Danio rerio: one gene and its partner. The protein of the gene in region 1 purifies or fractionates together with the protein of each later gene. This does not show direct contact. Links are inferred from orthologs where the notes say so. Each region holds a gene or a part of one and is shown in the gene's direction. Other genes may lie near its edges.

Region 1 (5,047 bases):
AATCATTCACAAGCTGTCCGAGAGCCCATCACCAAGGTATGTTGAAATGACTTGTGAATGTGCTTTTTTAAACATGTCGAAGATCTGAAAAATTGCATATTCATCAGCTCTGTTATTTAAATGGTCATTAAAGGGGCATGAAACACTGAGATGCTTAACAGATACTGAATGCAGTGTAAAAATGATGAAACACAATGACATGCACACTTTAGCCAGAGCAGAAGTTATGCAATTGAGAAGTTTACATACATGGTTGTTTTGATTAAATTTGGTGAATGTGACAATATCATTTAATTTGTTTATGTTTTTACACTCATGTACTTTTTATGATGCTTTTGACATAAGGTTTAATTCAAAATTCCCACTATAACCGCATTAAGTTGAACATTTAAGTTTTACCATTTTTTTTATTCATTTAGCTGATCCTGGGTCTGGCAAAAGCACTTTTAGCTTAGTGTAGCATAAATCATTGTATTAAATTAGACAATTTGCAACTCGGTTAATAAAAAAAAAAAAAAAGTTTTTCTGGGATTTTAATGTTTAAAGCTTGACTATTCTGTAGTTAGGTCGCGTACGAAGACTGACAGAATAATGAAGAGTTGCTATTTTCTAGGTCAATATGACATGGAACTATTCTCTCATTCTGGCTTAATAATAAACAAGGAACTCTGCAGCTGTGTCATAGTTACAGCATGTTCAATGATATTACAAATGATGTTACTTTACTCTCATTTTGAAATTTGCAAATGCTAATGGTCTAATCTGATTTAATTATTTATGCTAAGCTAAACTGAAAGTGCTCTATCTGAATGGATTAAAAAAGGGTAAAACTCAACTACAAAACATTAGGGGACTGATGAAAATGAGCCTGTTTTCAAAATAAAGTGGAGTGTTGCTTTAGGAGTGAATGTAAATATAGTACACATGCATTTACGGTGTATACGTATTTACAGTATTATTTTTTAAGCATCTTGTTTAAAGTTAGCATTAAGTGAAAGCTGCATGGATTTGAATTGCTCAGTGTATACCTGATTTGCACGTCACTAAAAGTATTGGTGTGGTTTAAAATTAAAAAGGTATTGGATGTTAATCCTTTTCCTAGAGATGGGTTGCAGCTGGAAGGGCATCCGCTTGTGCTAGTTAATTTGGCACTTTATTCCGCTGTGGCGACCCCGGATTAATAAAGGGACTAAGCCGAAAAGAAAATGAATGAATGAATGAATTGATGTTAACTGGGCAACGTCAATTCATTGAATGAAACTTCTGAAACATTCATTTACTCATGTTAAAATCTGTTTGCCGGTTCAGAAAGCAGGGCTCCACGTAGAAACCTCCAGTGTTCAGGAGAGCAGTCAGCCTGTGTCTGCTCCACCAAGCTTCGAGCCCTTCTTCTGTGAGGAATCAAACCCACTGAACAAACCCACCTCTCCTCCTTCATTTAAGGTATTTCACATGAGTTCATTCCCACACCTCATTTTCCTTTTGCCTTTCACCCTCCTCGCTTTGTTTTAAGCTAAAGCTAGCATTTCTTTTTCCATTTTTCTCAACTCATTATCCGCATCTATTTTAGGAGGACATTTGCCCAACATTTGACCGACATACTTTATTTACCCCTTCCTCTCCAAAGCCGAACCCTCAACCCCCTCAGTGCCTCAAAGTATGGCCTTTACTTGTGCTCATTCTTTCTTTCGCCTTTATTCTTTCACCTTCTGCTTCTGTTTTTCTTTTATTATTGTGTCATTAATTATATTCTCTGTTTTTAGGATAATGTCTCTAACAACCAGCAAATAGATGATCTGTTTGAAATTCTGATGAAGAGTGGAGGTAAAAAAGTCCTTTTTTAAATAAATAAGTTTACTATGTAATTGTAAGATTTAGATAAGTTTTTTAAGCTGGAAGAAAAGAGAACAAAACTTAGGATGATTTTATTTAGATTAGATGCATTTAAGGGACATATCACCCAAAACTGAAAATTCATTTACTCTCCCTTGTTTAAGAACTATTTAACTTTTTTTCTGTTTAATTCCAATCAAATCCTTATAAAAATCCGGAAACCTGTAACCTTTGACTTCCACAGTATTTAAGTCGGTGATTTCAGATTTTCAGCTATCTTCAAAATATCTTTAACAGAAAATAGAAACTCATAAAGCTTTAGGACCTCTTAAAGTTGAGTAAATGATTACTTTTTTTGTGAATTGTCTCTTTAAATTGATTAAAAATCAGTTGTTTCTGAGCAAATACTTTTCTTTTCTACATTTTACAATATAATATAATATAAGATATTAAAAACAAAACCATTGTGGAACTCTAATAAGTACAAATAGGTAAAACCTACTGTTTTACTATTGGTAAAAATATGTTTTTGAAGCTGTCCTTTATTAATAAAGTATTTTACACTCATCATATGAGTCGTGATATTTTATATACACAATAAGTACTTACTTTTTATGTACGTATAAAAGATTCTAGTATATTGTTACATAGATGTTTAATATGTTTATACACTGTTTACATCTGTAAATCATGGTAAAAAATGTACGATATAATATATATAACCTCTCTTTTTTCCCACCTCAGAAATTTCATCTGGATTTAAGGCCAGTCAAGACCCCTCCCTTTCTGACCTCCACTCCAACCCGCCCTCTCCATCCCCTCCTCCATCTCCCCTCCACCTCTCTCCACCAGCACATCACCCTGAACCCATGCCCGTCCCATCCCAGCAGCTCCTGGACACTCAAAACAGGCCCTGCTCCTCCACCGGCCGCCTCGAGGACTTTCTAGAGAGCACAACCGGCGCTCCTCTCCTCGGTGTGGAGCCGGATAGCCCGTTAACCCTAATCGATGACCTACACAGTCAAATGCTGAGCACTTCCAGTATTCTGGACCACCCGCCATCCCCAATGGACACCAGTGACCTGAGCTTCTCGTCCCATCCGGCCAGCCTGGACTTCGAAGACCCTGCTCTGGATGGAATGGATTGGCTGGGCATACCCGTGGTCACAGGGGGCAGTAATTGTAATGGCGGGGGTCTGGTCCTCGCCCCTCTGAGCTCACACACCCCACCCAGTGTCTTTTCAGCAGACTTTTTGGACAGTCCAGATCTGCAGCTCCACTGGGACTCCTGTTTGTAGCTTCTGGTCTTAATTCGCTCAACGACACACACAATTTAGCACATTCAACCTTACTGTGTATTAAGCAGTACACAAAACACTCCAGACGCACACGCTGTTAATTATGCTTCACGTTTTCTTTCCTTCATATTCCGAAGCCGAATGGTATTTAAACAGTTCCTGCGTCTGATAGCACTGACTTTTAAGCTCTCGTTCACTGCACTCAAATAACCACATGATGGCGCTGTTTCTTTTGTAACAGACCAATCAGGACCCTGAAAACAGCTCAAAGAATCCCTTCTTTGGTCTAAATATCAGATGAGTTGTCTATGCTGGTTAGTTAGTACAATCTTTAAAGCACCATATAGTGTTACGTCTGCCCATGGTAATAAAGCTATGACCTCATAAACATTATATATGAGGCCATTTCTGCTCCACAAGTTGTTACATGCAAGCTAATTGGCAAAAAGATACAGGATATCATAAACCTCCTTGAAACCCGTTAGTTCTTCCAACATTGCACTTAAGCCGACCCGACTGGTGCTCTGGTCAACACGACCCAATGTAATGGGCTCTGCAGGGAACCAGGTTTGGTGACGTTCACCAGATCTCTATGCATTGCTGTAGTTAGGATCATGTATTGATGAAACCTTTGTTCTTTTTGCTCTGATTCTAGCGATTCGCTGGTGGAGGTCAGTGCTGGGGTTTCAGGTTTCAGAGTATTTGGAACTTCTTGTTTTTTAAAAAAAGAAAAAAAATGAAAGGAAAAACTGCTGTGTGGCGTGTGGTCTCTTGTTTGCATCTGCACTTGTGTATTTAGAATACATTCACACACATGGTTATTTATGTAGTCGAACTTTGAGGCAAATCAGTATTTTGATTTTTTTCAGATTTTTATATAAACTACCTGACAAAAGTATCGTCACCTATCCAGGTTTTAGGAACAACAAATATTGACTTGACTTCTGGTTGATCAATTGGTCTTCCAAGATTCTTTGGATTCATCTTCAATGCCGCCTCCAACTTACCCCAGAGATGCTCAGTAATGTTGTTTGTTTGTTTGCTTGCTTGCTTGCTTGCTTTGTTTATAGAGCACATTTAAAAGCAACAGATGTTGACCAAAGTGCTTTACAAAAAGACCAGCATACAAAATTTATACCTATATATAAAAATAAGCAAAACCTATAAAACAGATTAAAATTATTTAATTACAATCAAAAGGCAAGAGACAGAAGGTGATTTTTTTAGATGAGACTTAAAAGCACCAAGTGAAGAACATGACCTGACATGTAAAGGCAGACCATTCCACAGTCGGGGGGCTGCAGCAGAAAAAGCCCTGTCACCTCTTGATTTCAACCATGTTTTGGGGACAACTAGCTGAAACTTGTTTTTTTTTACCTGATTGACCTAAATGAAGTGTGCCAGTGAAAAAGCTCAGAGATGTAAATAGGTGCCAGACCATTCAAACTTTTAAAAACAAGTAGAAATAACTTGTATTGAATCCTAAATTGGACTGGGAGCCAGTGAAGAGATGATAAAACTGGTAAGATACTAGATTTTTTTTTTGTCCCAGTTAAAATCCTAGCTGCTGCATTTTGAACCAGCTGCAGGTGTGCAATTGATGCCTACGAAACTCCTCAATACAAAGAGTTACGATATTCAAATCTGGACATAATAAAAACATTAATTATGGTTTCCAGCTCTTTAGAAGACAGAAAAGGCTTCAATTAGGCAATGTTCCTGAATTGATAGAAACCACTTTTGACGACTTAATTTATTTGCTTGTCGATCTTTAACTCAGTGTCAAAAGTAACTCCAAGATTTTTTGTGTGACTGTGGACCTTGCTTGATCGAACCTCATTGATTAATTGTAGATTCACAGACATTCGCAGCGCCAAACACAAGTACTTCAGTTTTTGATTCATTTAAATATAAAA
Region 2 (5,686 bases), on another chromosome or scaffold:
TGATTGTGACTGGGTTCGAACCAAAGACATTTGAGAAACATCGCTTTTTCAGTTTAGTATTGGATTAAAATCATTTTATTAACTCATCCCAATTCAAAATATTTAAAACATAGCTATTATAAGGGCAGCGTTGTTAGTTGTTCTCTGTTTAACGCTTTAAATGCCCCACCATGAAAAAATTGGAATTTCATTTAAGTCCTAATGTCGCTAGTTAACATACTCAATGCATTTTTTTTCAACACATCCCATAATTTCTAAAATATCCACCTCAACCAAATTGTTTATATGTCGATTTATGGTTAAAATACCAAAATTATTACATATACTATAAAAAATCTGAAAATATGAAGTGTAAAGCCAATCTATATTTAAAAAAAATGTATGTATATATATATATATATATATATATATATATATATATATATATATATATATATATATATATATATATATATATATAAACTAAATCATCTTTATTTTTTGAAGTATACCATAAAGTATTTCAGATTCTCATTTAACATGTTTTGTTGTTGTTTTACTATAAAACCAAAATCAAGTGTAGTAGTGCAACAGGATTATTTGTTTGATTTTTTTGTAAACCTACAATGCTGTGTGTGTAAACCATCATTTAAAACAGTCAAACTGTAAATTAGTTTAACAGTCATTATTTAAAACAGTTAAATTATGGTCAACTATTTGGTAAAGCAGGCAGTTAAAGAGTTAAGGAGTTTATTATTTGTATATCTATCATGGAAGAAATTACACGCAAGTAATTATTTTTATTTGTAAGTTGATCAGTGGAAAGAAATGCCAAAATAGTTTGTTGTGAGGTTGGATAGCTTACAAAGGTGTTTGAGAAACATATTTGAGCACTATGTTACCTCAAATACATATTACTTGAGTATAACTTGTTTAAATGTACTTTTTAAACTTCTAAAACGGCGATTCTTTAGCAACAACATTGAGCCTTTTCTACATTTAAAAGGTTTGCTAATACGTTTATTTTATTTATTACATTATTTTTATTTGTAAGTGTGATATGGATGAAAAAGCCAAACGACTTAATGTTATATCTCCCAATATATAACGTAACAGCTTCATCTGCTGGTAAAACGGAGTAGCGCATCATTTGCACAGCTCCCACAGAGCTGAATTTGACGAGTTTGCCCTAAATTTAAATTAAGCGGTCACGCTGTCAACTTATATTAGGTTTTAAAACTCAATCAAGTACATTTGATTTACCTTTTCTCATATTTCTCCTCAAAAACGCGGCGTTTTGTCGTTATATATTACTATTCAGTTCTGAGGTAAAACACATTTGCTAGCTAGTTCGTTGTGTATGACGTAAATCATTTGTGTCAGCCAAATGACACATGAGCCAATCGCAGGGTCGGAGAGGTTTGCGTAACCAATCGCAGCGCAGCACTGTGACTCACCATACATGGACAGCCATCACCATATAAGGAAACATCGACTCGCTTTATATGGAGGAAAGTAGATCTATAGACGAACGTCTCGTGAGTTAAATTCTCAAAATAAGCAATATTTTACTAATTATTTTCCCCAGAAAACGTTAAACTTAATATTTGACCAAAATAGTGCTTTTTATGAGCTAATAACGTATTATCTAAAACAATACCGACCTTTAAGCAGAGAACTATTTTTAAAGGCGGAGCTGCATTGCGCGGTCGCGATTCGTCGTTTCCAAATGTGGCAAGCGCAGCGTAAGTTCAGTCGAGGTTTGATTGATGGACTGTAGGCGGAAACTATATGTTGTAAACTTTGTACGGTGGTCGTAAAGGGCTAGTTTTGCAGGTTTATTTCTGTCGTTTACGAGACCCTCAAATCCTGACTTTCATACTGAAACAAATCCATCCGTAACCAGAAATAGCGCTTGCCTGCTTTAAGTTGTCCGCTGAGTTGAGCTAATGTTTCTTAGCCTAGCATATGTGAGGTAAGTTCGGTTTTGGGTCTGGATTTGATCTGGGATCTGCTGCACAGATCGCTAACTTTACACCCACCGCAGACCGCCGTAGTGCCGCTTGCAGGTCAGCGATGTTAGGGGGCAACGGGACGGCCAGAGGGGCTGGACGCTCTGGTAATGGCACGGGATTGACACCTCTACAGGTGGGCAGCACATCTGGGGCTCTGGGGGCTGTAAACTCTGTCATAAACCTGCCCGATGGGGGCAGATACGACGACGGGCCGTCGGTCGAGGCTGTGCTGAGCGGCTCCGATGGAGACTCAGACTCCGGGGACGATGAAGAGAGCCCTGTGCCGGACAGGAGAGGGGTGAAGCGGGAGAGGAGCGAGCTGGAGGTCGGGGGATCTTCTGGATCTAACGCCGCACTCTCGGCAGGATACGGAGGGGTCTCCAGCGGGGTGGCCGGAGCGAAGCCCGGCAAGAAAACGCGAGGACGGGTGAAAATTAAGATGGAGTTTATTGACAACAAGCTGAGGAGATACACGACCTTCAGCAAGAGAAAGACTGGCATCATGAAGAAGGTATGTTCATGTGTCTTCTGCTGTTAGTCTGGAACTGATTGTACCACTGCTGTTCTACTGCTGTACTGATGCTAGTTTTACACCAGTGCTAAACATCTATGCTAATATTAGCACTACAACTACTAGTAGTGCCATGCCAATACGTTCTTCAGTAACTGGTACTCTAGTAAACTTTAGTATTTACCTCATTGTGCTTTGTTTAATTCTGTATAAATAATAGTACCACTAACATTACTATATTCAGGATTCCCACTGGTCATGGAATTGTAAAAGCTCTATCCCACATCCTGTAAGTCAGGGAATTGTATACATTTTTTGGTAACACTTTAGGTTATTACATATTTATAATTATGACATTGGTTGTTTTTTAGTAGTTATAAAGTATCGTTTTATTCAACATCCTTAAACCTACCAATACCTAAACCATAGCTCTCAAACTCAATTCCTGGAGGGCCACAGCTCTCAGTTTTGCTTCAACCGTAATCAAACACAACTTATTCAACTAATCAAGGTATTACTACTAGTAGAGACTATTAAGTAGGTGAGCTAGAGATGGTTGGAGCTAAACTGTGCAGAGCTGGGGCCCTCCAGGAATTGGGTTTGAGACCTCTGACCTAAAGCCAACTTCTTACTAACAGTTAATTAGCAGCAAATTAGTACCTTAGTGAGAAAAAAGTCTTAGTTAATGGTTTGTTTATAACAATAATTGTACCTTAAAATAAAGTGTAACCATTTTTATTGGCCCAAGTCATTGAATAACAGGGATTGTTGTTGTATTTCTTATTTCTTTACATTTATAATTTGTTTTTCAAAGTCAAATTATATTCTTCTCCCGCTTGTCAGCTGGCATAAGTCCTAGGGTGCTATCACACCTGCCTTATTTAGTTCGGTTGAATCGCACTAGAGTTCGTTTTCCCTCTTGGTGCGGTTCGTTTGGGCAGGTGTGAATCTAACAATCGTACTCGAGTGCGCACCAAAAGCGGACTAAAAAAGCATAGCAAGACCCCTTAGAGGAGGTGATCTCGGTACGCTTACAAACATGGCAAATTAATTCTTAGTATTATAAATATTTATTATTGTCTGCCACATAATAAAAAGTTTGAACAATAACACACTTACAGGTAAAAAAAAGATAAATAAAACATCAACGTTTTAATTAAAATGTAATTTTAAAAGTTTTTACTTGAATAATTCAGCGATTCCTCCGCGTACCACTAGAAGGAAGTCCGCGTACCACTTGAAGGAAGCCAGTGCATTGATAATGACCAAAAACACATTGAATGAGCAATTTTACCCAATAAATGCATCAATAATATCCACTGATTTTTAGATATTCAATTAAGTGAACTTAAACGATTAGAATGGCAACAAATATTTAGTTGAACCCAAACTACAAAAAAAAAACATTTAAAATAATTTTAAACTAGTTTTAAACTAGTGGGGTTTTGAAATCAATTAATGCAAATAATCGAAATAACTGTAAAGCCGTGATTATTTCTAAGACTATAAGCGTACAACCAAAATTTATAATCGTTGCATCCCTATTTTCAACTGGTTCAGATTAAAGCAATCAATTTGGTGTGAAAACGGCCCAAAAACGGCAGAAAATGCTACAATGTGTCATTTGTTGCCCTTGGTCCGGACCAAATGACCGAACTACAGATGTAAAACCACCCTTATGCACATAAGTCAAAATGCAATCCCCAGGCTTTACCTGTTAAATACTGTCTATATTTTGTGTCTGCCCAGTGCTCAACCCAACAGAAGGTATAATAAACCTTAAAGACGTCACAGAAATCAAGCATTTTGCTATTTAGTCAGTAAAATTTACATATTTTGACATTTGGTTTAGACTGGGAGCCCTGTATATGATACTAAATCTATAGAAATAGTTCCACTTGATTGATCCTAGAGCTACAGTAGAGATGCTAGCTTAGATAGTTTAAATTAATACATATTCTAACACTTCACAAAAACTCTACCACTAAATGTAAAAATACTTCATTTAAAACATTAATAATATTAGTGTCAATGGTTTGAACTCATGAAACTGATTCTATTATTGTAAAATAACAGTGTAAATTACAACATTGATGTTAATTCTATTGAAGTAGTAGTATCACTAGATTATATTGTAAAATTTCAGATACTAACTCTTTTTAAGTACCAGTATTTGCTTAAAATCATACTGCTGAGAAATACCTTTCTTAAATCTCAAAATCAAAGTTGTAGGCTTTAAAAAGTCTCAAATTTACTGAAATATTGTGTTGTAGGTCTTAAATCTTTTTTTAAACAGGTCTTAATTTTCATTTGTTCATGTATTGCTATCCAATCTGGCCAAAACCCATAAAATCACCAACAATCCATCTCAACTTTAAACTTTTTTTTTATTATTATTTAAAAGTTAATTTTTAACTCTGTTTATCATAATGGTTTAATTATTTTCCTTGTAATAACATTTGTTTAGAAGTGGTCCATGTATTTACTGTTGAGGACACTGACCTGGACAGGTTGTTGTGCATAGATTAGGTTTGTTATAGTTTTTAAAACTTTTAAAACATTTGTTCATTTTTTTTATTTTAAAGAAAGTTTATGTTGGAAAAAAAACTTGTATGGATACAAGTAGAGCTTGCTTAATTTTACACAATATTTAAAATATTTTACTTATAAATATCTAAAATATTTGAATTCTTTATTATTTGTTTATTATTGTACTATTGAATGCATCAAATTATTATAATTTCTTTTGATAGGGCAAATAAAAATCTTTTCCATCTGAGCCATTTGTAAATTTCCTTAGCCTTTAGCTCTTTATGAGTCTAAAATTTCATTCATACTGGTCCTGAAATATCTTAATGTCTTAAATTTAACTTGGTGAAACCTGCAGAAACCCTGATATTAGTAAATCAGTTCTAATACTCAAAGTACTCAACTAATGTTTAATATTTATGTTGATTTTAACACGGTGGTAATATTAGTATCTCTTTTCCTAATGCTATGTCACTACTAGTTATTTATAATGGTGTTTTACCAATGCTTGTACCTTTTACACTGTTTGAGGTATAGGTTCTGAATCATGCTTGTTTACTTATGTTATATACGCTGACTGTACCATGCTACTTACATGACATTTGTGTTTAAATGTGTTTTACTGCTCCTGCTAAACCATGATACGCAAGCA

The links.
Region 2: the proteins of mrtfab (region 1) and srfa purify together in Homo sapiens (affinity purification with western blotting; 4 studies listed by BioGRID and IntAct, with this or other methods). This does not show direct contact. The link is inferred for Danio rerio from reciprocal best matches to the Homo sapiens genes MRTFA and SRF.

What each region holds. Positions count from the first base shown.
Region 1 is NC_133187.1:20,434,644-20,439,690, forward strand, and holds the end of mrtfab (myocardin related transcription factor Ab), read left to right. Parts: coding exon 1-36; intron 37-1,308; coding exon 1,309-1,443; intron 1,444-1,570; coding exon 1,571-1,657; intron 1,658-1,763; coding exon 1,764-1,824; intron 1,825-2,577; coding exon 2,578-3,131; 3' UTR 3,132-3,608; downstream 3,609-5,047. UniProt on the Homo sapiens protein: Transcription coactivator that associates with the serum response factor (SRF) transcription factor to control expression of genes regulating the cytoskeleton during development, morphogenesis and cell migration.
Region 2 is NC_133197.1:37,095,393-37,101,078, forward strand, and holds the start of srfa (serum response factor a), read left to right. Parts: upstream 1-1,732; 5' UTR 1,733-2,055; coding exon 2,056-2,505; intron 2,506-5,686. UniProt on the Homo sapiens protein: SRF is a transcription factor that binds to the serum response element (SRE), a short sequence of dyad symmetry located 300 bp to the 5' of the site of transcription initiation of some genes (such as FOS).